Astyanax mexicanus: one gene and its partners. The protein of the gene in region 2 purifies or fractionates together with the protein of the main gene of each other region. This does not show direct contact. Links are inferred from orthologs where the notes say so. Each region holds a gene or a part of one and is shown on either strand. Other genes may lie near its edges. The genes, in order: bag2, stub1, pparg and nadsyn1.

Region 1 (7,951 bases), on a different chromosome or scaffold from region 2:
CATACTGTACGACTCTGAGCAGGAGTTTCAGGAGCATTATGTTAGTCTGCACAGCAAGGACTACTACTGCTTGAACAAGACGAATGGAACGGATGTGATTGAAGACAGTTCCACCGATGTGCCTTCTTCAAGCAAAAGTCCTCCTCAGCTGTGCCCCTGCATGGGTTACCAAAAACCCAAAGAAGAGGAGAAGTCCACCTTTACGAGGTGCATGAAGCAGCTAGCCAGCGAAAGCAAATGCAGCTATGTCTGTCACCAATGCTCGACAACAGTGGGCTCCTATGCAGAGATGAAAACACACGTGTACCTAAAACACGAGGCTCTGGGCAGAAGCTTTGATGTTGTCTGCATGTCCTGTTCCGAGAGCCACCGCGATGTTCCCAGGTTCCACACACATTACCACAACCATCACTGCCTACTGGAACCCTGTGTGTCCTTAAGAAACAACGGCACAGGCGAGGAGGGAGTCCCTGTCACCAACATTTTGAATGCAGAAGAAATCTCAGCAGACAAGAATGGTAAGACTTTGACTTGATTGTCTGTCTGCAAAAACACCTTTTCATAATGACTTTCTGTGGCTCACCCTTCTTGTGGAGGGTTTTGTTGATCGTCTTCATGATTACTTTAATGTCAGCAGTGTTCACTCATGATTTTTCATGATTTCATGATTGCATAAGCTGAATTAGACTGAGGTACTTTTGAAATGTTCTAATAGTTTAAGATACTGGATTTCTGATTTTTATTCAATGTAATCCATACTTAAAATATAAAAGGGCATTTGATATATATTTAAATGAAGTTTGATCACATTTTAGAGAAATGTTTTCTGACGTGTCTAGAAAGACACAGTTGTTGAGTTATTCTGAAGTTGTCCTTGCTTTTTCTAGCTGTGGAGTTTCAGCAGGTGAAGAGTGTTGTTCCTTCGAGCATCAATGATAAAGAATCTGTGGAAGAGTCTAAAGATGACTTTGAAGAGGAGATGAAGCTTGCTTTGGCTTTGAGTGCTGAGGAAGCAAAGAAACCAAACGAATTTGATCGAGGTGGGTCAGGCTTTCTGTACATGTTTTAGAATTACCCAAGTTTTGTTTTTCTAATTATTTTTAATGTTTTATATTTATTTTTTATTTTGCTAGCTTTACATGCGTGAAAAGTGCCACCAATATGGTATGTTAATTCAGTTTGGTAACTCAGTGAGTTGTTGTGGGAAAATGGTGTAACGAGGGGTGATGAGCACTGTGAGGTGTAGCATGCACAGACACTGTACAGTGTTGAGGAGAACTGAGCTGCTCAGTTAATTTAACACATTTGAACCACTACTTAAAACTGGGCCTGGGCTCCTATTGGTTAAAGGAGAGTTTCAAGAGTAAAATCAAATGTACATCATTACAGGCAGTTTCATCACATTGACTCAAATCAGCAGTTAGGAGGCAATTGTTTAGTCACTGTTTCACTGATCAAGAAATCAGACCTTTTTAATAATCTTTCTCTGCACAGTGTGATTTCATAGGGGTGAATGTGTTTTTATCAGGGCTAGGTAAATGTTGTAGTGTCTTGAAAACCTGCACAGGTTCTTACTACACATATTTGTAAATGTAAGTCATTAGTAATTCCAGTGTAATCACCTTTCAGGTAATGATAATTCTGAATAAATAAATGAGTAAATTAGCTAGCTAACTTATTTTCTGTGTTTTACAGAGATGGAAGAAGCTCTGAAAAGAAGCCTGCAGGACTTTTGATTGCTAAAACCTGCAAAATAGTTCAAACAGTGTTTGACCTGTATGTTTGTTTTTTATGTTGTTAATGTTCTCTGAAGTTTAAATAAAGAACTAACTGACTAAACTGGTTATTTGTCGTCTTCTGATTTTTATTATTATTATTTTAACTGAAATTGATGAGATGAGTGAGTTTAGTTCAGCTGTTAGTTCACCCTAATAGACCACTGCAGCTGTGTGATCATTTTGTAGTTGGCGTCATGTTTATTGCCATATTTGTGGTTCCATGTCTTAAGCTGCATTTGTCAATAACAAAAATAAATGGGCTTTTCAAAAACTCATCTCTATAAATAAATCTGTTCAGAACCCTGTACGTTTTGTTCTGTGTACATTCTGCTCCTAAACCCCGCTGAATCCTCTGAATTATGAGATCAATTAAGAGTCCTAATAACAACAATGCTAGATTTTAACGTGGCTTAATGTACTAAAACAAGGAAAAACTTCTCTCAATCATTCACTACATAAAAAACAATCAGAATATTTATAAGATAAACAAACCACTATAACCCACATTACTGAGCCTGGCTGGGAGTAAACTGGCTGGTTGATTGGCTCTTGAACAACACAGCAAATGTATTTTGTATTTTGCGTTTGCTGGTGTAGCCGGTGTGTTAGTATATCCAGGGAAGTTGACCAGTATGATTACTGCATCTCTAATTAAACATGCTAATAGCACAGTAACTACACTGGTGCTAGAACCTGGTTCTGAAATAAATACTGTGCTGCTTGTTTTAGTGATTTCCTGCTGTAACACTCTCATTCCCTGGTGTTGTGCCAAAGTCCCCTCTTGTTCTGTGTTGCTGTGACATAAGTTCAGTTCAGAGGATTGACTGATGTTCAGGAGCAGAATGTACACAGAATAAAATTTACAGAGTTCTGAACATATTAATTTACCACAGAATGTGACAGAGGAGAGTTTTGGAAAAGCCCATTTTTGGGCCATATAGAAATTTATCTTAGACCAAGAACCCCAAATGTAATCTTTAATAATAATGTCAGATAATAAACTCTGTTGGTAAAGGGTGGTACTAATTTCTGAGGATAAAACTGTGGTGATAATTTCAGATATTAATCTTTGATGATGAACTCTGATAAACCAACCAACTCCTTCAACCAACCAAAACGGGCACATGTCACTCCGCTGCTCATTGAGCTCCACTGGCTACCAGTTGATGCTCGCATCAAATTCAAAGCTCTTACAATCGCCTACAAGGTGATGACAGTACAGGCTCCTTCCTACCCGCACTCACTCCTGAAGGCTTACGCTACCTCCCGGCCGCTGCGCTCCTCCAATGAACGTCGCCTCGCTTTGCCAAACATTCACACAAAGCAATCCAGACTGTTCTCATACAGAGTTCCCCAATGGTGGAACAAACTACCTTCTACTACCAGATCAGGAGAATCTCTTGCTATCTTTAAGAAACTCCTGAAGACAGAGCTCTTCAAAGAGCACTTACTCTCTTAACACCTCTAACACACTAACTACTTCTAACCTCATCTCCTTCTTCCTCTTCTCTACTCCTCTATCCCATTATTTCCCTCTGACCTCCTTAAGGCCCTATCTATAGATGCTTTATTTTTAACTTCTATTATTTTTGTACTTAACCTCTTCTATTATTTGCAACTCAATATTGTAAGTCACTTTGGACAAAAGCGTCTGCCAAATGTTATGTAATGTAATGTAATGTAATGTAATAATCTGAGGTCATGATCTTTGTTAATAATCTGTGGTGATAATCATACATCCATAGGGTAAAATTCATTAATTTTATCTAAGCATAATTTCTTAACAGAATTATACAAATTATGCACCTGATTGTATCGGTATTAATACAAAAATACACAAAACAATTACACATTACAGTTTTATATGTATTTTGTTAATATTCTATTTCTATGTTAATTATGATCATTGTTATATTATAATAGTTATTATTTGTGGAGAGTGCATTTCTCCTGAAAGTTTTGTGAGTGTTAAATAGAGGCAGAGTTTAATAAAGGCAATGTTAAATAAAGTCAGAGTTAAATAGAGGCAGTGTTTAATAAAGGCAGATTCAAAATTAAATAAAGGCAGCGTTAAATAGAGGCAGAGTTAAGCAAAGTCAGTGTTAAATAAAGTCAGCATTAAGTAGAGGCAGTTTAATAAAGGCATGGTTAAAGGCAGAGTTAAATAAAGGCAGCATTAAAAAGAGGCAGAGTTAAAGAAAGGCAGCATTAAAAAGCATTATTAAAATATTAGTTAAATAGAGGCAGTGTTAAATAAAAGGCAGAGTTAAAGGCCATTTTAAATAGAGGCAATGTTAAATAATGCAGAGTTCAATAGAGACAGGGTTAAATAGAGGCAGAGTTAAATAAAGTCAGTGTTGAATAAAGGCAGTGTTAAATCAAAACAGATTTAAATTGAGGCAGTTTTAAATAAAAGCAGAGTTAAATAAAGGCAGCATAAAATAGAGGCAGAGTTAAATAGGGGCAATGTTAAATAAAGGCAGTGTTAAATAAAAGCAAATTTAAACAGAGGCAGTTTAACATAAAGGCAGAGTTAAACAGAAGCAATGTTAAATAAAGGCATAGTTAAAATAAAGGCGCGGATAAAAGCAGATTTAAATAGAGGCAGTTTTAAATAGAGACAGGGTTTAGTAGAGGCGGCGTTAAATAAAAGCAGCTTTAAATAAAGGCAGAGTTCAATAGAGGCAGTTTTTAATAAAGGCAGTCTTAAATAAAGGCAAAGTTCAATAGAGGCCATTGTAAAAAGAGGCAGTGTTAAATAAAGGCAGTAGTAAATAGAGGCAGAGTTGAACAAAGGTAGTGGTAAATAGAGGCAATGTTAGTGTTAACATTGCAAGGCAGTAATAAAATGACGCTGGGTTAAATAGAGGCAGTGTTAAAATCAGTGGCAGAGTTAAATAAAGGCAAAGTTTTAAATAGACAGTTTTAAATAGAGGCAGAGTTAAATAAAGTGAGTGGCAGAGGTAAATAGAGGCAATGTTTAAATAAAGGCAATTTCAAATAAAGGCAGATTTAAATTGAGGCAATTTTAAATAGAGGCAGAGTTAAATAGAGGCAGATTTAAGTTTGAATAAATAAATACATTAAGAGATGGAGCTAAAGCGGCTAATAATTCAGTTTATTCTGCTCTGATCCTCCCCCGCCGCTCAGCGCCCTTCCGTTTCCCCCCGAGGGCGGGAATACCCCGGGAGATCCAGCCCATGTTTGGAGATGTTAGGAGATGTTTGTCCGTCAGAGAAACCGCTAGAAGGAGCCGGAGAGAGGAGACCCCTCAGACCCGCCCGTGTAGAGCCGAGTCTCCGCACTGAGACCCCCTCAGACCCGCCCGTGTAGAGCCGAGTCTCCGCACTGAGAGCCGCGGCCATGGCTCAGGCCAAGATCAGCGCAAAGATCAACGAAGCCGCGAGAAGCGGGAAGTTCAGCCGCACTGTCTCCATGGCGGACCGCTCTCTGCGCCTCCTGGAGAGTCTGGACGATCTGGAAACGAGGTGGGTTTACTTTCGCACCGTAATACTAATAATTCCCATAATACTCTAATAATCTTAATACTCTTACTCTCTCAATACTCCTCTAATACCCATAATACTAAAAAAAAACTCACGTCTCAATACTCCTCTAATACCCATAATACTTTAATACTCTCACACTTTTAATACTCTAATAATCCTAATAGTCTCACACCTTAATACTCATCTAATACCCCTAATAATTTAATACTCACACCTTAATACTACTCTAATACTCTCACACTCTTAATACCTATATAATACTCCTCTAATACCCATAATACTTTAATACTCTCACACCTTAATACTCATCTAATACTCATACTACTAATACTCTTACACTCTCAATACTCCTCTAATACACCTCTAATACTCACAATACCCTAATACTCTTACACTCTTAATACTCCTTTAATACCCATAATACTGTAATACTCATAATAGTCTTACACCCTTAATATTTATAATGCCCATACTACTCTAATACTCCATACTCTCACACTCTTACTACTCTCCTAATACTCGTCTAATACCCATAATACTTTAACACACTTTGAATACTCGTCTAATACCCATAATACTTTAATACTCACACCTTAGTACTCCTCTATTACCCATAATACCTAATATTTTCACACTCTTAATACTCATAATACCCATACCTGTCAAGTTTTAGATTTAAAAATAAGGGATATTTTCCTCTGTCCGCTTAAAGCCGTCCCACCAGCCCAACGAAGGTTCAGTATCTCTTACATTTTAAAACAGGTTTACAAAAAATCTAAAATAACCACATGTGAACCACTTACACACTACAATTAGATTATCAGAATCTGAACATGTTGTGGACATGTTGTGGATATGTCATTCTTTTAATACAGCCAAATTAAAAACCCTTTTCTATATATTTTTTTTATTTAAGATTTCATGTCTTTTTTGTAATAAATGCACTCTTTTATATGATATATTTTTTATTTATTTAATGGATTTAAAATTGAACAAAGAGTGCACAAATTCTGCAAAATGACTGTTGGTGACCTAAAAATGGTATTATGAGCTTTTACTAAAAGGACATGGACCAGATATATTCCATCAGTAAAAATTAGTCCTAAGGGGCCTACACAATAATTTTTAATTAATACTTCTTCCTTTTGATCACTCCACCCCTGATCAGTTCAGTTAATGTCGGTCCTCTCCACATTTCTAGTTAAACTGAGTCACAAGCTGTAATTTTTTTTTATTTTAAAAGGTTTAATCTCTGTGTTTTATTTCGGAGTATTTTTAAGCAGCTATCAGAAAAATCTCATCACAGTTTCCATGATTAGACTACCGTTACCTTTCTTTTAGAAAAATCGCTGCATGTATGTTTTAACATCAGCAGCTCCAACTAGCTGCCTGAACTCACAGCGAGGAGGGCGGGGCTTCCCCACACTGACCCTCCTTGGAAGCTGATTGGCTGTTTCTCCTGAAAGGCGGGACTTTCTCCTTGAACCGGCTCCACGATTGGTTAAGAGACACAGAGCGGTCAGTGCCCTGTATCCTCAATAATATATATTTTTTTATTTTAATAAAATACGGGAAATTTACGGGAAAATACTAATACGGGAGGACGGCGGGAAAGAGGAGTAAAATACGGTAGTTTCCCGGCCAAAACGGGAGACTTGACAGGTATGATAATACCTATACTACTCTAATACCCTCCCACTCTTAATACTCCTCTATTAATCTTACTACTCTAACACTCTTACACTTTTAATACTCTTAATGCTCCTTTAAATATACTCATATTACTCCAATACTCCCATTCCCTTAATACTCCTCTAAAAGCCATAATACTTAAAAAATCTCACACCGCTGATGATAACAGTAGTAGAAGTGTGTGTGTGTGTGTATGTGTGTGTGTGTAAACTCTGTGTAGTAAAGTTTATAACCGGGTCAGATGAACTAAAGCAGTGGAGTTGTGTGGAGTTGTTGACTCTGGCAGAAATGCAGCTGCTGCTCAGTGAGGCTATAAATACGAGCTGCACCAGCAGATCCGTCTTCTTGCTTTAGGATGGATTTTTATTTCTAATAATCATTTTATGAAAATGTTTTTGGTTCTCTTGTTCTCAGTAGAAAAGAATACACTGATTAACCAAATGAAACATTATATGTGTAAATGTAAATATGTAATACATACACAAATAGAGCAAAAGTTTACTGGGGAAAACTCTTTATCTGAAAAGAGGCACTAGTACAGAGGTCACTAACAGGCAACTCAAATGTTGTCCAATGCGGACCCAAACCTTTTAAAATGATTTCATTGTATACGTGCTTTGCGGCGCAGTAAACTCACAGACCAATCATGTGTGGTGTAAGATCACCAAATGCTCTCCTTTGCGGTAAGGAAATAAAGAAATAAATAAACACACTGCTCCTCACGCGGGATCGAACCCGTGTTGTCAGGGTCGCGCAATAGCTCCAGCTATTGAATTGGGACGCGACCGTGAAAAAACGCCTTTATAAGAAGAGGGAGCCCAAGAATGAGCGTAAAAACGAGAACAGGCGGAAACTAATGTGTCACGCCGAACGCAACAGAGAAAGACAGGCAGGTAATATACACAAAATCTGCATTTTTTTATTATTATTATTATAGATATTTTTAATTATAGTTCAAGCAACCTTACAGGA
Region 2 (7,879 bases):
TGTGTCAGTACCTAAACTTGTACCTTTGCTTGTTTCTGGTTAGCACTTTAAGTAATTTTAGTAAAAAAAAAATAAAAAATAAAAAAAATTAAAAGAGGTAAACAATTTATTGGTTGGTCTGTGTGAATAAATCAACTGGAAAATGAAAGACATAGGAGACCATTGATAATCCTCCTCGATCAGGAGCCCCATGCAAGATCTCATCCTGTGGAATCAAAACAATCATGAGAACAAGGAGTAAAAATCCCAGAACTACACAGAGGGACCAGATGAATGACCTGCAGAAAGCTGGGGACCAAAGTAACAAAGACAAACTTCAGTAAAACACAGAGAGGGACTCAAATCCTGCAGTGCCAAACATGTCTCCCTGCATAAACCAGTACATATCCAGGCCCGACTGAAGTTCACCATAGAGCATGTGGATGATCCAGCAGAGGATTGGGAAAATATCATGGTAAGAATTAATGAATGAAGACATGTATCATGAGATTTTAAGCCAAAACCTCCTTCCATCAGTGAGAGCCTTGAAGATGGAACATGGCCGGGTCTTCCAGCATGACAATGACCACAAACACAACACTCGGGCAACAAAGAAGTGGCTTTATAAGAAGCATTTCAAGGTTGAAACTCTGTGTTATTACTGCCTCCTCTAGAGGGAATCTGCATGGAGGAATGGGCCAAAACTCTAGCTATAGTGAGTGCAAACCTTTTGTTACTGACCAAATAATATTTTCCACCATAATTTACTGAATTTATTTACCTATGATGAAAATTACGTACCTCTCTCATCTTTGTAAGTTGGAGAACTCGCACAATAATCAGTGGCTGACTAAATACTTTGTGTGCTATTCTAATAATGAATTTACTTCCATAAAGCACTCAGCTAAAATAATAAAGTGCTAAAAAAGTGAGTATAAATAAACATTCAGTATAAATAATCTTTACTTATTCATACTTGCATACAATCCTCATCAATTACCTAAAAGTACTCCTATCAGAGTATTGAGTATTGATATTTAAATTAAAAAGATTAACGATATTCCCCCAGTTCCCAGTCCCACTCTCTGGCTCCTCCACACTTACGATGGCTTTGCTGTAGCAGGCCGCGGCCTCCTGGTACTTGCGGCAGAGGAACAGGCGGTTGCCCTGCTCCTTCAGCTCCTGCGCTGAGGAGGAGCTCTTCTCCGGGCTGCCGGCCTGCATCTTCTCCACAGGCTCTGCGGTGGCCGCTCCCCCCTGCTTCCCAATCCTGTTCCCCGTCTCTTCGGCTGGGGCACCGGCGCTCCCGGGGTCACCTGGAGAGATGCCTCTGCCCTCGAGCTGCAAATCCAAAAAGTGAACACAGGATCCAGACTCAAATACAACTCTAAAACAACTCAACTAGTTTTCTCTGGATGAACAATAACTCAATCAGTAAAAAAAAATTAAACGGCCAAGGGTGGCAATATATGAACATCTGGGAAAGGGGATCATTATCACTGGTTTATATTCATATACATAAACTTCAGAACCATGCATCGATTAGAGCATATTACAGTGCGCTTTATTATTACAGTACTCTCGCTCCAGTCCTATCACAGAGTGATTAAATTGCAATAAACACACGGAAAAGGAATTATGCTGCCTTCAAATGGTGTTGGAAATATCATATTTATGAGAGGAGAGCACATTAAGGCCACCACAAACTCTGAACAAACTGTATTTAAAAGTGGGAAACTCGGATTTTTAGATTAGCACAGAGTTTCCCAGTTGGGGGCGTGTCAGTAACAAGAGGTCAAAAAATTAATAATAATTTTACTGTTATTTAAATTGATAAATAAATTAAATAAATTGATGCACACTTGAACACTTGCATGTTGTGATTAGCTAACTAATAAATCAAAAGTCTAGTATGATTCATAGTTCTAATGGGATAAAACCATCACTTAACTAATGCGTGTCTTTATCACTCTTTATACTCCTGGATTAGGGCAAAATAAACCTGCAGGTTTTTTTTTTTTTTTTAGAATCATAAACCAAAAGTATAAACAAAAGATTTTCCTAATGGCGTCCATTTCCACCCGACCAAAATACACTTGAATGCATGTCGAGTAATTACGACATCCAACCTAAAACAAAAGAGTTTTCCAAGGAGGACGTGAAGGCAGCAATAATGTATTATGTGGAAGCGTCACATTACAATATGCTCTTCCAATCATGTAACCACACACATGGCACAGGGAGCGGATAGCTTCTACAGGTTTACTTAAAGTGAAATCCAAGGCTTCTTGGCATTTAAATCCCATGTTCTGCTGTTTATATCGTTTTGAAGTGGAGGAAGATAGAGAAAGAGATACAACCTATAGCAAAGATGGAAGAAAGAGATGGCAGAAATAATAGCTGACTATTCGACTACTCTGTTAAATAATCGACTAGTTAGTCGATTAATCGACTAGCAGAATAATCGTTAGCTGCAGCCCTAGATTAGGGCTGCTCATCAGGAAAGAGAGAGCAAAAACAGGGCTCTAATGACACAAAACGCTTAAAAATGACTAAAAACAGATAAATATTGAATTAATTTATACACGAACGCGCTAATAGTGGAGTTAATAAGCTTTTATCCGCTGTAAGAAGCTGAAACTCGCTGTTATTTGATGGAATAGGCCTGCTCCGGTTCCGGCTGCTGTCGGGACCTACCGGTGGTAAACTCAGCGCTCTGCCCGGCGCCCACGCTCCTCCCCCGGTCACAGCGCCGCGCAGACTCCGCCGTTAGCTTAGCTTAGCCTAGCAGCTCTGTCCGGCAGGCGGGCTGCTCGCTCCGTGCGCCCCGCGGTTTAAGCGACTCGCGGGTTCATCTCCGGTTTCTGCTCTTTATAATAATAAACCCAGAACTGCGGTCTTTCTCTCCGCGGCTACAGGGAGCCGCTCATCCTCGCGCCGCTGCGGAGCCGCTAAAGCTAAAGCTCGGCTTGTTTTCCACCGTGACGTACAGCCGCGGACATGTACCCGGAGAACCGAGTCCCGTCAGCGCACTGAATCGATTCAGTTAATGAACACGCAGTTTACAGCTGTTCAGTTCAGACTGACTCCTGATTCAGAGAGTCGGTTCAGCTGGATTCTCGGTAGATACTGTTGCTAGGCAGGACAAGCCTTCTTCCCCTGTAATAAAAAAGTGTATTTAAGTATATTTATTAAAAGTATAATTAACATAGAAAAACACGTACTTTTAGCATTAAAATCAATACTTACTTAAATACATACTAAAACGGAACCCCTAAGATGACACCATGTAAAAATATTTAATAATGCATGGCCACGACTTATTAAGGCATAGGAATGAGATCCTAAGGTGTGGCCAAAACTTATGGCAACTTAAGTTTATTTCTACGTAGCCCCTTATGTGACGTCATGTAAAAAAAAATAATTATGAGTGGCTATGACTATTATTAAGGCATAGGAATTAGTTCCTAAGCTGTGGCCACAACTTAAAGCACAGCGACTCAGTTCTGTTACATCAGCTCACAGAGGGTTCAAGGGAATGTGGGAAAGCTATTCGCTCATGTGCATTAATTTACAGAAAAGCAAGCTTTATTATTCTCTGGCTACAACTTAATTATGTTGTTCCCACACCTTAATTATCTCATTCCCAATAACTTGTGGCCACGCATTAGGATTGTATATTTCAATTGTAATTAAGCTATATTTAAATACAACATAAAATTAGGAGTTTGTGCATTTGAGTGCTTTTTGTATAACATCTGTGAACTTAATTAGATTCAAGTTTTTTTTTTTAACATAATTTTTAATACACTTTACAAAGTATAATGTAAATTAAAGTACACTTTAAGCAGTAGTCAATGCCTAGCACTGTCTTGTGTGGGAGTAAAAAAGTAAATATAGTGAGAAGTTCCAGTGTGTATATCTGTAAATCAGTGCAGTGTGAAGCTGATTTAACACAGAACACAGAAAATTTGCTGCAGCTCTTTTAAACACAGTGTTTTCAATGGGACGTGCAGCGCATATGTACACATAGTAAACAGAGTCACACAACTGTGAGCAGTAAACGCAGCACAGACCACGCTCTTAGAGCGTAAACAGCATGAAGCAGCATTTGTTCATAGCTGTGGTAATTATATCAGATTAAACTGCACCTTATCAGCAGTTTAGCTCAAATAAAAGAAGTATATTTGATATCTGAGTCGGATCGAGACCAGATCACGTTTTCACCACAAGTGAGAATTACTGTGTGATTATTGTTTTCGCACCTGCTCAATTAAACCGCACTAAGAGTACAAACCAATCAGAGTCTGTTTTAACCAGAACAAATAGTGCTGGTGTGAAAGCTGAGTGTAGTGTGAGCTGGGCGTGTTCTGCTGAGCTCATCCAGCTGATCCAGGGCTTTCTCCTCTCTGGACTCCACTCTGCTGACCCATCGCTTTCCCCTGGCAGCACAGCTCCTGTTAGGAGGTGCCTCCTTTCAGACATTAAAATACGACCACTTTATTTTATTATGCTTTATTTTATTTTATTCGTTTCTGCAGCGGTAACCCAGAGCAGTAGAGAGGGATGACTGTTAATTGCTAAATAAATTAAACCATATTTGTCTGCTGTCTGTCTTGTAAGCTAAAAAAAAATGTAAGTCGGGTCATTTAAACAGTTAAACCACACTAATAATCTAATTTGTATAATGACCACTTATCACTGTATTCCCCAAAAATAAATATATTTTCACACAAATTAAACAGAAAGCGCTACAAACATTTTCTTTTTATTTATCAAGAGTTAATGCATTAGTATGATTTGTTGTTTAAATTTTCATATTCAATATTTATATCAGCTAAAAATCTGCTGTTAAATTAAATAAATGATCCTTTATATGTTTTTTTCACATTTATTGGAAATGCAAAACAAATCACGTCAATTACTGTTCAGCGATATACCAGTAAAAGAGACAATTTAATAGGCATTCAACACAGACACAAAAAAAGGCAAATATTGTTTTTAATTTATTGAGTCTAATTTCTGTATATATTTACAGATTTTAAATCATTATTTAGTGTTCTCTAGTGTTACATATATGCTATTAAATATAGCATATTCACTTTTTTTAAATATATTTTAATACTGTTTGATGTTTACTCCTTTAAAAGATCTATCATCACACAACGTTTACTTTAAGCTTAAATAGAAAAGTCGTTTTTTATAACTATTTTGTATTAAAACAGACTATTACTTTAAATAGCAATATGTAATATTTACATTGGGTAATATTACTGTGTATTATTCAAATAAATTATCATCACAATAGCTGAAATGTACGCTGAATTAATTTTTTTATTTCAGTTTTTCAGGTGAAGCTCCCACGCACTCAGGTGATCTGGAGGGGAAAGTCAGCTGACCTCACATAGGCCTGTGGATTGGCTGCCTTTTGGATGATTCAAGCAGGTGGTCTGTTTGTAAAAGCCTTACTTAAACTTAAGTTATTTTCTGTCTTTTTTTTATTTTATTTTATTTCGTTGTGGTTCCAGGTAAGTTAGCTGGGGGCTGGGTTAAGATTTGTTTTGTTGGATATCGTGGCATTAAGCTCACCCTGAAGTTGTTGTTAAATTTTCTTTTTGTGTATTTAAGTGATTTGTCTTGATTTTAATACATATTTACTGAAAACTGACGTTTATGTTGTTGCCTCCTTAAACCCTAGACGTTTTGATTAGTTGGGAGTTTCTTCCCTCAAAATATAAAGTGGGTCTTTGCAGCTCGTTTGAAGTAATAAAACGTGTTAGTCTTGCTTAAAAAATTTAGAAAGTTTCTAACCTTTAAAAAAAATGCTTTTATTGTGGTAGTTTCTGCCTCTGCAGCTCCCCTTCAGGTTCAGCTGTGCTATAGGCCAGGATGATGTTTCTGTGTACTTTGGTACACAAACACATCACAATATGCAAATCAGTCAATAATCAATAATACATATCAGAGGCACACTACTCAGCCCAATCAGCTCTCCTTCCTGCTCCGCATCTAAACCCATACATCACCTATAGTGCCCCTCTCAAACCACCCCTCCCATTTTTAGCCTTTTTCAACTTTAAAATCAGGATGTGTGTTTTGGACATTTATGGAAATACAAAACAAATAACATCTCGTATCGATTCAATATGGTATTTTACAGGATGGGTCGTAACCGGACATGCAGAGACAGACGGGTTCAAGTTCATAAAATCCATTTAATGAGTTAGATTAGGACAACATGAATCATAACTGCATTATAAAAGAACAGGAACATCTGAGACCTGAAAGAATAAACCATCAGAGAACTGGACTCGGCCATGAATCACTCACTCACTCGGCGTTACTGATCTCTAGCCTGGTCTTCTGCTACTGGAGGAGACAGCAGGACTTCTTCCTGTCTGTTTAGGGAGGAGAACGTGCAGCTACGTTTATTTACACACTCACACACACACACACTCATACACCCACACACACATTCACGGGCTGTCAAACTGACCTCAGAGCAGCTTTAAATAAAGCCTGAGCCACCTCACACACACTCTCTTACACACTCGCACTCACACACTCTACGAAACAGTACAGGTACACGGTAAAGAGCTCCACCGTCTAAACAGATCAACATAAAAAGGGGGAACAAAACTAAAATAAAAGAAATGAACATAGTAAACAGAATAATTGGCTGAAAACGTGGCGAATTCTGTAAATGCAGCCGTTTACCCCCAAATACTAAACACTATAAAGACTGTAATGCGACCGAACGACGGCTAGCTCAGCACTCTTAATTCCCTTTACCTACAGTTCTGCAGTTCAGTGCTCAGTGTAGAGTGGTGATCTCCAAGCCCAAAGTGTTCAGACCCAGCCCAAATCAGATTTTTACCAGATCTAGACTCAATCCAGATTAATGTTTGATATAGTCTGGACATACAGAAAATACATGAAATAGGATTTTAGCATAGTTATCTAGTATCCTGATTGATTTGTGACAACCTGGACATTAATAAATCACATGAAAACGGATTGTTGATATATGAAGACTAATCCAGATTGATATTTGATGGTCTGTATATCCAGATATCTCATGAAATTGGATTTTTGCTGCATCTAGATTGCATCCAGATTTTTTTAAAAATATTTTGTGCAGCCAGAAACCACATGAAATAGGATTTTAGCATGGGTACACAGAGTCTCATTTCATGTTTGACAATCTAAACATCCAGATATCACAAAAAAAATGAAAATGAAACATGAAACCTAATCCAGATTGATTTTTGATAGTGTGGATATCCAGAAATCTCATGAAAATGGATTTTTGCTGCGTTTAGATTGTATCCAGGTTTAATTTTGATATTATGTGCAGCCAAATTGGATTTTGGCATATGTACTTAGTATCCCGATTTATTTTTGACAATCTGGACATTAAGAAATCACATAAAAACGGATTGTTGCTATATGAAGACTAATCCAGATTGATGTTTTGTAAGATGGTCAACCTGAAACCACATGAAATATATTCTAATTAGTTTGTTCATCAGATCTGAATCCTATTTGGAGGTGGTTTGAAATCTGATTATAAATCAGATTTGTTCAGATACATCTGAGTCTAATCACTAATCACCACAGCACCCATGGCAGATACAAATTTGTGGTGTTCAGACATGCAAATCCGATCTAAATCACTGTACAATCAAATATCAGCCTCTCCTGGAGAGCTACGTACTTTCCTCGGGCTTAAAATCCAACCCCACTAATCCCAATCCCACTTGACCCAACCAATCAGCTCCATCCGAAGCCGCTGATTGGCTGAATGGGAGTGTTAGATTTGGGCTGGAGTGTAAACCTGCAGGAAGGTAGAGCAGCTCTCTGAGAGAGGGCTGGAGATCACGCTTCACACGGCCTGATC
Region 3 (7,483 bases), on a different chromosome or scaffold from region 2:
TTGCAATGTACACAAATGTACAGGTGAAAGCTTTACATTTAGCTTTGTGCTCGGACACAGACGTTTCTCCCGCTTTACATACAGTAGACCTGCGTAGATGCTCTGTCCTTTTAAAATAGTTCCATAAACACCCATTATAAGCTCAAAAAGCTCTTTGCTTGTTTTTTTCACATTGAAGAAAACCCTTTTATAGGTGTTTCTACATTATATGGGACCTTGACCTTGACCTACATGCTTCAATACTTCTACTTCTTTAATAATTGTGAATAGACCCATGATCCCTTAAAGAACCATTGAATGCTCTTGAAATAGCACTTTGGTTGGTTATGGGTTCTTTGGACTGATTAAAAACCTCCTGTAGATGGTTGTATTTGGAAACAAGACAACCTTAAAGAACCACTAAATAAAAACTAATAAAACTAAATAAAAAAACTTTCTAGGTGGTTCTATTTAGAAGAATGAAAAATCAATGTACCATGTGTTTTTCAAATAGTGCTTTGTTTGGCTTAATGTTCTTTAGATTGGTAGAAAATCTTCTGTAGAAGGTAAAATTAAATGGTGTTTTGTTTGGTTAAATGGTGCTTTGTTTGGCCCATTTGGAAAACCTTGGAAGGTGGACTTATATACAGAGTAGGACCTATATAGTGTTTAATGTAGAGTTCATTTATTCTTCTATTTTAAAAGAACCCTTTATTCCGTACTCAATGGAACCCGTTTTTTGTGTAGGGTAGAGTGTAGGGTCTGTGAGAGGAGCTCTGATTCAGTTAGATGGAGAGAATGTGAAGGAAAGAGTGATGATGTGAAATCCCTTCCACAGGGACGGGATTGCAACAAGAACATGATGTTTTCCACTGATATTTCCTAACAACAGCGGTGGTCAGGCCAAGATGAAGTGTGGAAAACAATGATTTTACATATATTTGAAGTTTCATCACTTACAGTGTTACACAGCTTCACACGGATACACCAAAAACCTCTTGTATTAAAAGTGCAGATCAAGTACAAAGGAGAAGTTCAATGGAGTGATGGAGTATTTATATAATGCTGTCAGAATTTAAAGCCTTTAAATGTCAAACATTTGTGGAAATCTGGGCTACGTCCCAAATGTGTACTTCACACTAATACTATCAGGTATATATTATTATATAATATATTATTATACATTTAGCACTGAGTACTAAACTCAGTAGTGCTGGTTTGGCAGATTAGTACACAACCTTTTTAACATACTAACCTGTTTTAAAAGTGTGAAGCACTGCTAAGCCAATATACAACACGTCATTGACATCACTGCTGCACTTGCATCATTATCCACCATTTATTTTCAAATAATTGTCTTGTACGAAAAGTACTTCCTCACCACGTTGACCACATTGTGGGGTGTCATTTTGTATAATGCTAGAGCATCTTTGGTCTTCATTACAGGCATTTTACTTAAATGATGACCTGCAACTAGTGGCCCTATCTTTTCTGAACCCCGTATCTTTTCTGTGTGCAACAGTACAATACTCATTCATCTCTGATTGAAACTGTGAGGGATGCTATTGGATGCACTGTCAACATTCATATACCCCTACTGTTATATCTGCAGGAACTGCATAAGAGTATTGAGGCTGCATGGGATGGACATCATTCGCAGGACATCATTAGGAACCTCTACAACTCCACGCCTGTTGCATATGCATTATACACTACTTCTGTATGTGTAGCTCAATAAATATTAGCCAAACTAGTGTACATTTAAAAAAATGTTTTGTTCCTAGTAACTTCATCATTATCTTCATCACAGAGTCTGCACCAGAGTTCATGTCTTTGTTATGTTGTGTAGGTTTGCTCCAGTTAGTTTCGGTTTCACACTGCAGTTTAGTGAGCAGAATAAAGAACTTTACTACATCCTGTCATCATCAGCTACATGGGTGGAGTCTCTCTATACTTAATATTTATTGGTTTGCAGAATGTTAGATATGAATATGCCGAGTTGCTTTGCCTGGTGTGGCCGATTCTAGCTCTCTGTCAGAATCTGAAAATATTCTTCTCAGATTCCTTTTATTTCTGTTTATAAATAAGGGTTAACCTACTGTTACAGTAAATTAATGATTTTCCAGTTTAAGCGTTTGTGTCCTAAATGCTGCATCCTGCACATCAAGGGTCTTTTTTCTTCTGGTTTGTTTAAAGACTGCATAAACTTCCTGTAATAAGTTAGAAAGTCAGAAGGTCTAAACCATCTAGAGAAGTGTTTTCACACTGCAGATGAACCGGACCTTATTTCAGTAGATCTAGACTGAGACCACCTCTTTTGGTTGGACCAAACTCTCCAAATCAAACAGCTGCTTGTGTGGTTCGCAGTCCTGTTCACACCTGCTGGTTTGATTCAGACCCAAACTGAAATTCTGACAATTCCGACCAAACAAGGCAGGTGTGAAAGCACCATTAATCATCAATACTTCAGGCTGATCATCCTGATGATCCACATAACTGGTAAAAGCACAGACTGAAACTGGTTTGGTCCAAAAGTGGTTTAAACACCTGAAAGGTTTGAGGGCATTATTGTCCAGCAGCACTGCCAATAAAATAAAATAAAATGTATGCATGATCCACATCAGCTTCCTATTTACCATTGAAACTCAACAGGTAAAAAATCAATCTGCATTAAAACAGGGATTGCAAAGTTCTAAAAATGCGCTGAACACACCAGGAAACACTGTTCTTTGTGGACAACTAATATTCAAGAAATGAGAGCAAGGAATATACACAAGAAAAACCCCAGAAAATCCACTTACCAACCTCCATTTACCACCCGTCACAGTCACATAGTCCTGAGGCTGAGGGAAATCACAGGTCTGGCAGCTGAGAGGTGCTACCGTTCACGTAGCTACAGTCTGCAGCAGAGCCGGGATCATCAGTAGAGGACACCAGCCGAACCTGCCTGACCACATTCAACGACATCTCCACATTCATCTCAGCGAGGCGGGCTGATAAGCCCTCAAACAGGCGACTGACTGCTCCTCTCGCTGTGGGATTCTGACCAGATAATTCAGCACAACCTGCATACCACACTCCTCTTCCTCAGACCAGAGGAATGTACAGTGCTAAACTTTCAGACTGTTTACCTCCAGGGTGTTCTTACAGCAGATCTTTCCTCAACTCTAACGCCTGTCTGCAGAAAATTCCCGTAAATGGTGAAACGGAGGGTAAACAGTATCAGACTAGGTGTAGCATAGGGGGTAAAAACATTGCACAACCTCCCTGCAGTCCAAAAAAATAAACGTACTACAAAAGGTTCTTCAGGCAATGACACAAAATAACTATTTGTTGTTCCATAATGTACAATTTCTGCAATAGAATTTTGTGAATTTGAATATTTAAAGACCCCTCTACAATTTTTTTTAAAGAAACTATAACTGGATCTGCAATGAGCTTGTTCATAGCGATAGTATCTGATCTTCACCCTGATTATATTTTTACCACATGTTTATATTTGCTAGTCATATGTGTTACCAAGCTGGACTCCAACTGCTGTGTGGGACGGAATATGCAAAAATGTGTTAAATGTCTCTCAGACCACCTACTGAAATGTTTTAAGTAATCCATTGTGTATCTGTTATATCTGCATCTCAGACCAACTTCTGAAGTGGTCAGAGTGATTGAATTTGTATTGGATTAAATGCATCTAAGACCATGTCTTGAAGTGGTTTGATTGATCGAATATAGTCTGTTTTAACTGTTCTCAGACCACCTCCTGAAGTCGTTTGAGTGATCGGATTTGTATCTGTTTAAAATGTGTCTTTGTGTGTTTACAATTGCATTTTGGCCGTATCTACAGTGGCGTCAAAAAGTATTTGCCCCCTTACAGATTTTTCTTGTTTTTGCATGTTTGTCAAACTTACTTTTTTCAAATTATCAAATTACATCTGGCATATAACTAACACATGATATATATATATAAAAAAAACATTATACTGAACATAAAACATGATGGTGGTAGTGTGATGGTCTGGGGCTGCTTTGCTGCTTCAGGGTTTGGATAACGTGCTGTAATAGATGGAACCAGGAATTCTGCTGTTTACCAGACAATCCTGAAGAAGAATATCCTGCCATCTTTTCCAGACTTCAAGCTCAGACGTACTTGGGTTCAGTAGCAGGACAATGATCAAAGCACACAAACAACAAGTCCACCTCTGAATGGCTTGGAAAAAAAAAATGAAGCTTTTGGAGTGGCCTAGTCAAAGTCTGATTGAGATGCTGTGGTTCATGGTCGAAAACCTCCAATCAAGCTAAATTAAAACAATTCCGCAAAGAAAGTGAGCCACAATTCCTCGATAGAAATGTGAAAGACTTGTTGCCAGTTATCGGTAAAGCTTGATTAGAGTTAGGTAGTAAGTTTAGGGGGCAAACACTTTTTCACACAGGGCTAGATTGGATTGGATACTTTCTTTCCTTTAATAAATCATATTAACAATTAAAAAGTATTTACTCAAATCATCTTTTCTGATATTTAAGTTTGTTTAATAATTGAAAAAATATAATTACGACAAAGCAAAGCAAAAATACATTTTATAGGTATAATCATGGTACTAAAGAAGCATTAAATTACTCATAGATCCTGTTTACACCTGACATTAAAGATCAATGAGGCGATTTTTGGGGGTGACCAGAGATGAATCTTGTCCTCATTTAATACATGTGTAAACAGGATGTTTTCTGTGATCAGTTTATGTGGAGGAGTGTGGGTTTTCCACCACTGCATAAGAAAACTTTAAATAAATTGGTATTTTCAATGATGTGGAAGAGAGCCTAAAATGCCTAAAATTTTTTTTTTGCCATTTCTGGCAGAATAATTTTGCCTGCCAAATATTTGGCCTATCAAGCTTATTAAGGTCTATAGACTGATATCTGGTGTGAAATGAACTTGGTAGTGTAGTGAAACGTGATTGGATAGTTGTATCTGCTGTAATTGCAAACGAGTGGAAAAGAGGAAAGAGCTTCATCTCTGTGCTCTAAACTCTTCACTGCAGTGCTGCTGGTTGGTCTCTTTGAGCACTTTCTGAAACAGTGTTTCTCTGAAAAGTGGAGAGTGTGGCTCAGGTTCAGGATTTGGTCGCGACACTGTAGGTGCGACATTTTCAATGGAAAAGGACGTGACCTCAAGATTCTGCATACAGAGAAAATGTGACTTCCTGACCTCCGCTCTGCCAGCAAAATCTCCCCCACTGAGTGTCACTCGTGCCCTCTCGCTATGAGACGGAGCCCAGACACCGGCTTGTCTCGCCGCCCACACGGCTACTACTGAATTTGCTGGGCAGGTGTTCGTCACTTTGATACAGGAATTACACTACGAGACTGGTAGACCACATGCTGGGTAGTCTGGCATAGATTTGTCAGGCTTGGCACGCGTGAACCCTGATTTGTTCTGAGTGATTTGGGAAACATGGTGTGCGGGGAAATCCCGAGACTTTCCTTCTGAACATCTGCTGTTTTTAGAGATGATTGAGATGATTGATGGAGGAAAAATGTTCAATACTGCACTACTGTTACATTTAAAAAGCCTATAGAGCCAATATCCACAGCTAGTCAATCATTTTTACTGACATCAATATTGTCATAATTATTTTAGTTTTTCTTAGCAAGGAGAAACCATTTATGTAAATGTGCTGACATGTTTCTATTTTTTTTTGTTTTGTTTTGTTTTATTTAAGATCTTTAAAATGACCAGACATTTTTATTTCAATTCCAATGTATGAATATTCTCAACAATGTAAAGTTCAATAAGCTTTTCAACATTATCACTATTATCAGTGGCATTAAATGCAGTGTCTTGAAATGACAATAAAATATTTTATCTCAATTATTTCTGGTAAAGTAAATCATCCAAACAAAATATTGAGACAGGTAGTATTGAGACAGAACTTAAACATAATGGGAAAAAAATCTGTGTAGAATAATAGTTTTAATCCAATCAGAACAAAGACATCTAACATCACACTATAACACTGATATCTAGTGGGTGGTGTTTAAACACAACACTAAATTAACCACTAATCTTTATATATAAACTAATAATAAAAAAATAATACTGTATTTTTGGAAATCGAGAACTAAACTGTTTAGGGTTTTTGTGACTGATTCTTGAACATTGTTCTCAAGAATCTGCTGATATTGACTGGAATCTATGGGTGGGAGATATGGCTCTAAAATAATATCACGATATTTCATGGTATTTTCATGATAACGATACTTTTGGCGATATGACAAAACACTGAATTAGAAAAATTATTTAGAATTGTATTATTGCATGCAACATGATATGGCTAACTGAGATATTAAAAAAAATAATAATTTTATCAGATTTGTAAAAGAAGTCAATGACTCAGAATGTCATTATACTAGTAATGCACTCCAAATATCTCTTTATATCAAGGATTAAAGTTATATAATCTGTCTCTAGTAGATATATAATGGGAAATGAGAACAGTGTGAATTTTTCTTTTGCTAAAAACGCCAAAAAAGTAGTACTATGTTGTGATAATTAGGGGTGGGTTTATATGACACGATATTTCAGGATATAATATCGTTCACGGTATTCAAATTTTTGGGTGATATTATCAGGTATGATACAATATGGCACAACCCTACTAGAAACCATGCTACCCTTAACTTGAACAAGATTCCCAGTACCTGCACTGACCACACAGCCCCACAGCATGATGAACCACCACTAAATTTTACTGTGGGGAGCAGGTAAACTGCTCAAATTGCTGATTAAAACAACCAATGATTTATTAAGGAAAATCATTAAAAATGATCATGGGTGCCCAAACCTTTTCATTATTAAGTAGAGAGTGAACAGTCAGTTCTTAAATTTGATTTGTTGTTTGGGAAAAATGGACAAGCGTCAGAAACTGAGACACTTTAACAGAAACCAAACTTTGATGCTCTAGACGACAAAACACCTCAGCATGAACTGATCAGAACCTACCGAAATAACTTAAGTCAGGATCATGAGCACCAAAGGGACACTGATGCTCATGAAGGTTCCGCCCACTTCACAACTTAACAAAAGGAGATACCACAGGATGCTTCCAGGTGTAAAATACACAATATTAGGCTGATGATCTTAATGTTATGGCTGATTGGTGCACATGTAAATGCAAATTTATATATTTTTTATATATATTCATGACATCACAAAATAAAAAAATAAAAAACTGTGTAATTAACACATTCTAAGACATACGCTATGTCTTAAAAAGAATGAGTGCAGCATGGACTTAGCTACTTTTAGTTGCGCCTATTACTGCTGAGACACACACACACACAGCTTATCTAGTCCCTGTAGGAGAGAAATATTGCCAATAGAATAGGACTGGAATGATGATGGTTCAATACTTTTAGATGAAATGATTTGGGGAGTTGCCTGAGCTCACGAAGTTCATGTTGCTAAATGCAATCAAATCCTCACAGCAATGCAGCTCCAAAATCTAGT
Region 4 (6,966 bases), on a different chromosome or scaffold from region 2:
TAATTTGACCTAAAACATTTGATTTCCTAATGCCTCAGAGTCCTGAAAGTACATAAGGAGACCCATATCAAACAAATGAGGTAAAATATTACACATTAGTAATTTATTAATTTATTGAGGAAAATCAAAATTAGCAAATTTTCCCATCGCTAACCAAAGGTATCAAAAGTATTTACATTCATTACTCAGGTGAAAGTATAGATACTAGGGTTTAAAATACTTCTGTAGAAGTTAAAGTATTAATTCGAGCTTTTTATTCAAGTAAAGTTTAAAAAGTACTGTTTTTAAAAAACTACTTATAAAAGTAGGAGGAAAAATAAGGCGGAAAATGCCATTAAGGACAAAAGCTTAGGCTGCACCACAGGGTTCTATAGCGCACTCTGAAAATGTAATTTTGAGCATCTCCAGGATCCAAGTGTCACTTTGGGCATCTACAAATGTGACTTTGGGCATCTTCAAGTGTCCTTTTGGGCATCTCCAAGTGTCACTTTGGGCATCTCCAAATGTGACTTTGGGCATCTCCAAATGTGACTTTGGGCATCTCCAAGTGTGACTTTAGGCATCTTCAAGTGTCCTTTTGGGCATCTCCAAGTGTCACTTTGGGCATCTCCAAATGTGACTTTGGGCATCTTCAAGTGTTCTTTTGGGCATCTCCAAGTGTCACTCTGGGCATCTCCAAATGTCACTTTGGGCGTCTCCAAGTGTCTTTTTGGGCATCTCCAAATGTGACTTTAGGCATCTTCAAGTGTCCTTTTGGGCATCTCCAAGTGTCACTTTGGGCATCTCCAAATGTGACTTTAGGCATCTTCAAGTGTCCTTTTGGGCATCTCCAAGTGTCACTTTGGGCATCTCCAAATGTGACTTTGGGCATCTTCAAGTGTTCTTTTGGGCATCTCCAAGTGTCACTCTGGGCATCTCCAAATGTCACTTTGGGCGTCTCCAAGTGTCTTTTTGGGCATCTCCAAGTGTCTTTTTGGGCATCTCCAAGTGTCACTCTGGGCATCTCCAAATGTCACTTTGGGCGTCTCCAAGTGTCCTTTTGGGCATCTCCAAGTGTCTTTTTGGGCATCTCCAAGTGTCACTTCGGGCATCTCCAAGTGTCCTTTTGGAAATCTCCAAGTGTTCTTTTGGGCATCCCCAAGTTTCCTTTTGAGCATCTCCAAGTGTCCTTTTGAGTGACTTTGGGCATCTCCAAGTGTCCTTTTGACATCTCCAAATATCCTTTTGGGCATCTCCAAGTGTCCTTTTGGGCACCTCCAAGTGTCACTTCGAACATCTCCAAGTGTCCTTTTGGGCATCTCCAAGTGTCCTTTTGGGCATCTCCAAGTGTCACTTTGAGTATCTCCAAGTGTTACTTTGGGCATCTCCAAGTGTCCTTTTGGGCATCTCCAATTGTCCTTTTGGGCATCTCCAAGTGTCACTTTGAGTATCTCCAAGTGTCACTTTGGGCATCTCCAAGTGTCCTTTTGGGCATCTCCAAGTGTCATTTTGGGCATCTCTAAGTGTCCTTTTGGGCATCACCAAGTGTCCTTTTGGGCATCTCCAAGGGTCCTTTTGAGAATCTGCAAGTGTCCTTTTAGGCATCTCCACGCCGTGCGTAAAATAGCGCACCGCGCGTAAAAACGCGTGCCGTGCGTAAAAGTGCGCGCTGTGCGTAAAACCGCATTCCGTGCGTAAAAACACGCGTCATGCGCAAAAGCTCATTCTGTGCGTAAAAGCGCGCGCCCTCTATAAAAACGCCTGAATTCCCCACAGCTATGGAAAAAAACTAAACGCATAACAACTTCTCAGGTTTTGCTTATTTTATTTCATATTTAAATATTTATATAGTTTTTTTTAATATCTATATTATTTATATTAATCTGAATAATAAGCTCTGTCATTTGCAACAATCCAGGGTAATGTGGGGGCCTTTTTATCACACACAACTTTCCACTAACACTGCTCTTAGTTTTAATAATTATAAAAAACACATTAGTCGATAGTTTAAAATGCGCTCATTACCTCACAGGGTCCTTAATCTGTAAACACACTCCCGTAGATCACACACAGCACCCTTCCCTACTGTCTAGATATATTAATAGATTTAACAGATACCTTTGTAAACCTCTGTTATCTGTCTGTAGTGCTAATTTTATTATTTTGCACTGGTTGTTAAAGAGTAAAGTAATCTAGATTTCTGCTTTAGTTACAAATAAAACGTGTTCAGATCATCATCAGACTAACAATTACAGGCAATCATAACGTAACTATCACACTAATAACCCGTGATAAATAAAGAAGGGTGGGACTTTTATTTTGGCGTGTATGTAAAACTGTGCAGAGTATAACGGAAGGACAGTAGTAGAGACAGAGCAGAGCTGCTTTATGGAGAGCATGGCCACTCCCGATCTCCCCCGTTATATCAGTAAATGACTGCTGACCGATAGAGGGAGCCCGCGAGTTCAGAATGAAAAGGGGTTAATGGAGCTAAAAGGCTAAAATCTCAAATTAAAAATAATAACCAGAGGTGGAAAAGTTACAGAAAAATTGTAATTAAGTAAAAGTACCTTTACTTTCCAAAAATTCTACTCAAGTAAAAGTAAAAGTACCCATCTAAAAATCTACTTGAGTAAAAGTAAAATTTAAAAAGTACTTTGAGTAAAAGCTACATAGTTTCTTTTAATTATTTGATGTAAAAAAGTACAACAAATCATAAATTAAAATGTTTTTATAAACTATTATTCCACATAATAATTTTATTTAGACCTTTCAGGCAGTATTTGCTCAGACCGGGGTGGTCTGAGCAAATACTGCCTGAAAGGTCTAAATAAAATAAAACATTTTTGAACAAGTTGCATAGGTTTCTAAGATCTTTGATTCTATGGTATGGAAGTTTTGAAAGCTGACAGCTCTGTCTGGTGGGGCACATTTTGCATTGCATGAGGACGTTATTGCCTTGTTATTCCACAGGTCAGCATCTTTTTTTTTTTATTATTCAAACAATTGTTTTTTTTCCCAGCATTTTATTTTTTGCTCAGTAACGGGGAGTTTTCCAATGTAGTGAAGTAAATTACTTGTGTCAAAATGTACTTGAGTAAAAGTAAAATTACCTATTTTAAAACTACTTTAAAAATTACAAATTACTCATAAAATCTACTCAATTACAGTAACTTGAGTAAATGTAATTCATACTTTACACCTCTGATAATAACTAACTACTTGTTCTAGATATTTTTTTTACAAAATGTAATGACGTATTTTACTAAAAGAAGACAAACTAACTTGTATTTATTCCTTTTCTACAGTAAACAGGATTTACGCATTAAAGGTGATAGTGTTACTGCTACTGTGTGCTGACTGACTGGTGAGCTAGAGCACGTTTAAAGACTAAAATATTGTAAAAAAAACAACAACAACAAAAAAAACAATAAAATAAATAACCTCAATATTCTTCAAATATATGAGCAATTCTTTAGTTCTTATGATTACGATTTTTAGTTCTTAAATAACAACTGTTTTACACAAACGATTGTTTTCTTTACATTTAGTTTCATTTTTTATTAACAGTAAGGTGTCTTATATTTTTTTTACTAATTGCATGTAAAAAATTTCAATTGTTAATTCTGTTAATATTACCGTGGCTGCTGGTGGTGGCGATAATAGGAATAGCCTAAGTAATACATAAATAACATAATTTTAATTTACAACTTTTATGCTTTGGCATAATTTTGCAAAGTTCATTTGCATTGTTCATGTGCTCGTTCCCTGCTGGGAAATGGGATTACGATTTTAGTTAGTTTAGTAAATAACATTTAATTGTTATTTTTTTGTTTTTTATAAATAGTAAAAACTTTATAAATAGTATATATAGTATAAACTCATTAATTTTGGTCTCTCTCAGGAGCGCCCCTGGTGGTGGGACACTCTGGAATCAGTCTCGAGTGGGTGATCTGGTGTGTAGAGGATGTGTGGTATTGATAAAGTTACAGTGTATCTGAGCGCTGGGTTCTCTGTAGAGCTCTTTAAACAGGTAGAATGGGTCGCAAGGTGACGTTAGCCACGTGCTCTCTGAATCAGTGGGCTCTGGATTTTGATGGGAATCTGAGGAGAATTCTGAACAGTGAGTTTTTGAAGCTGCAGTGAATCAGTGAATGAGTCAGTCTGTATTTCTGCAGCAGAACAGTGCATGCTGTGAACATGCAGTACAGTGCAGTACAGTAATTTACACTGACCTGATTAACTCTGACTTTACTCCTCATTAACAGGTATTGAAATAGCCAAAGCCAATGGAGCCAAATACAGACTGGGACCAGAACTGGAAATCTGGTAATTTACTTTATTACTTTACTGTCTGATAGAACTTTGATGTGAAGTGATTATCTACACTGCCTTTTTTCAAAAATAAAAAGTCTCCACCTGGATTTAAGTAAGTAAGTTAAGTTAAAAGATGTGGGGTTGATGCTGCAGTTGGTCTGCAGGTCTAGGTTCAGCAACAGTATGTGCTGAAAAATAAGGTCTGCTGTAGGGGTGGGCTATAAAATAATATCATTTGGAGATGCCCAAAGTGACACTTGGAGATACTCAAAGTGACACTTGGAGATGCCCAAAGTGACAATATCAATAATATGATACGGAACCCCAATTACTGAGATATTAAAAAAGAAAGAAAGAATTTTATCAGATTTGTAACAGTAGCCAATGATCTAGAATATCATGATACTAATAATGCACTCCAAATATCTCCATATATCCAGGATTAAAGTAAAATAAATGATACTGGACAGATATAATCTGTCTCTAGTAGATATATAATAGGAAATGAGAACAGTTTAAATTTTTCTTTTGCTAAAAGCAGCAAAAAAGTAGTACCCTGATGTTGAGCTGGACTATATGGCCAAAACAAAAATCGTATTTTTTTTTTCTTATCAATTTTTTTCCCCTACTAAAAATAAAACAAGTTTTTTACTATTTTGTTTTCATTAAATTTCCCTTTTGTGGTTAAAGTGCAACCAGAAACAAGCAAAAAACTATTGTAAACAGTGAGAACATCCAGTAACTTTTAGAAAGCTTTCTCCAACATAGTTTAGGTACTGACACAATGCACTCGGTGGTGGAAATTAAAATTCAGAGAAAAAAGATTTTCATAAAAAACATCATCCTTAACTGTAAATTTGAATTAATCATTATAATGAATATATCGTCCAGCTCCACCCTGACTATATTTACTTTCTTGCTCCCATGCCAGACAGCTCTGACCAATCAGAGGAGACGATGTGCTCGCGTGGTTTATTGGTGCACATTCTGGTGTATTTATGTTTATGCTTGTGTAAAACTAAACTACACAGAGGGAGAAAACGCACAAACACTTACTTACTGATCTGTTACATACATACATACTGTAGCTACCCAGTGTAAGCATACTGTTTAACATTAGTTACAGAAGAACAGAAGAACAGTTATGGAGTGATTAAATATATATGGATAATGGAATATATAAGCAAAGAAAATCTCAATAGTGACCCTGTGTTTAAAGATAAGACATATAATAATCCTTTATTAATCACACAGTGGGGAAAGTTACAAAAAGTAACAGTGGTACAGAGAAAAGAATAGAAGAACAGAAGAAGTGTTGGGAAATAAATACAGAAGAATATGAAAATACTTAAAATAAATAAATCTATATAAATCTAAGATTAAAGGAAACATGGTTCCCCAGTATGCATGTGTTATGGTAGGCAGTGGCCAGTGATTTTGCACATGGATTGTTAGTAATTAAATAGATAGTATTAAATAAATATATTGCACATATTGTGCTACATGGTGAATTTAGCTGGAGATCATGTAATTAAATTTAAACTTGTTGCTATGTTGCAAATAAATACTTTATAAATTACTTATAGAAGGGCTGCAATGATTAGTCGATATAATTGATAATGTTGATTTTAATTTTCATTTAAATTTGTTGACTACAAATTTTATTGTCGGCTAATCATTAATTTGTAACAGTACTGCATTACACAAAGTGCTGGGGACAGAAGCGCAATGGGAGATAAATGGGGGTAAATGGCTCACTCACACAGTTTACACTCAATTTAGTCTGTGTCTCCAAAAGTGCCCAAACACAACAGATCACATATTTACTCACTAAATAATCAGCACTTTCCATGTTTAAACAATATCTAGACATTTAAATGCTTTTTAAATCTCATGTTCAGCTGTTTCTGTCGTTTTTAGAGATGGAAGACATGCCAGAAATAATCACTGACTAATCGATTAATCAAAAAAATAATCATCAAATTAGTCGACTATCAAAATAATCATTAGTTGCAGCCCTAATTTATAGCTTCTACCACCAAATGTTATTAAAATGCCTTTTTTATTATTGTTTCATTTTATTTATATATATTCATATTTTTGTGTTGTGTATATTTTTTGTGTTTTGAACATTAGTGGATATGGATGTGCTGATCACTTCTATGAATCAGACACTCTTCTCCACTGCTTCCAAGTCCTCAAAGAGCTGCTGGAGTCTCCGCTGACCCAGGACATTATCTGCGATGTTGGCATGTGAGTGTTAAAGCTGCTGTATAATATGTATAATGTTCAGTTTAGGAGTGATCACTGTCATTACTGATTCTGATAATGAGTAATAAATATATTTCTTTACTCTTTTTACAGGCCTGTTATGCATCACAACGTTCGCTATAACTGCAGAGTCCTTTTTCTCAACAAGTCAGTCTTTGGTATTGACAATCAAATGAGTATAAATCCTCTGTATTAGTTTACAGTATGTCTAAAATGTTATGAATCCCACTCATTCAAAGTTTGTTTCTCTCTCTGCTTCACATTGCTGTGAGGATTTGTTTGTATGTGGGCTCAACAGTTAGTGAGGTAATAGTGTAAGGCAGTGTCTGTGGTCCATGGCACTCAGCACATATGTTATTGAGTTAAGTTCTGTCTGTTTTTTTATGCTATTTTTATTTT

What was found.
Region 1: the proteins of stub1 (region 2) and bag2 purify together in Homo sapiens (affinity purification with mass spectrometry; 7 studies listed by BioGRID and IntAct, with this or other methods). This does not show direct contact. The link is inferred for Astyanax mexicanus from reciprocal best matches to the Homo sapiens genes STUB1 and BAG2.
Region 3: the proteins of stub1 (region 2) and pparg purify together in Homo sapiens (affinity purification with western blotting; 3 studies listed by BioGRID). This does not show direct contact. The link is inferred for Astyanax mexicanus from reciprocal best matches to the Homo sapiens genes STUB1 and PPARG.
Region 4: the proteins of stub1 (region 2) and nadsyn1 purify together in Homo sapiens (co-immunoprecipitation; 3 studies listed by BioGRID and IntAct, with this or other methods). This does not show direct contact. The link is inferred for Astyanax mexicanus from reciprocal best matches to the Homo sapiens genes STUB1 and NADSYN1.

Annotation. Positions count from the first base shown.
Region 1 is NC_064414.1:16,371,584-16,379,534, forward strand, and holds the start of bag2 (BAG family molecular chaperone regulator 2), read left to right. Parts: upstream 1-4,948; 5' UTR 4,949-5,141; coding exon 5,142-5,266; intron 5,267-7,951. Other genes in the region: E3 SUMO-protein ligase ZNF451, read left to right, coding at 1-518, 888-1,040, 1,696-1,736. UniProt on the Homo sapiens protein: Co-chaperone for HSP70 and HSC70 chaperone proteins. Acts as a nucleotide-exchange factor (NEF) promoting the release of ADP from the HSP70 and HSC70 proteins thereby triggering client/substrate protein release.
Region 2 is NC_064413.1:56,075,571-56,083,449, forward strand, and holds the start of stub1 (E3 ubiquitin-protein ligase CHIP), read right to left. Parts: upstream 3,012-7,879; 5' UTR 2,677-3,011; intron 1,321-2,676; 5' UTR 1,204-1,320; coding exon 1,084-1,203; intron 1-1,083. UniProt on the Homo sapiens protein: E3 ubiquitin-protein ligase which targets misfolded chaperone substrates towards proteasomal degradation.
Region 3 is NC_064431.1:12,904,210-12,911,692, forward strand, and holds the start of pparg (peroxisome proliferator-activated receptor gamma), read right to left. Parts: upstream 3,013-7,483; 5' UTR 2,791-3,012; coding exon 2,781-2,790; intron 1-2,780. UniProt on the Homo sapiens protein: Nuclear receptor that binds peroxisome proliferators such as hypolipidemic drugs and fatty acids.
Region 4 is NC_064423.1:34,232,225-34,239,190, reverse strand, and holds the start of nadsyn1 (glutamine-dependent NAD(+) synthetase), read left to right. Parts: upstream 1-3,951; 5' UTR 3,952-4,017; coding exon 4,018-4,102; intron 4,103-4,247; coding exon 4,248-4,308; intron 4,309-6,432; coding exon 6,433-6,549; intron 6,550-6,660; coding exon 6,661-6,714; exon of another isoform or gene 6,715-6,725; intron 6,726-6,966. UniProt on the Homo sapiens protein: Catalyzes the final step of the nicotinamide adenine dinucleotide (NAD) de novo synthesis pathway, the ATP-dependent amidation of deamido-NAD using L-glutamine as a nitrogen source.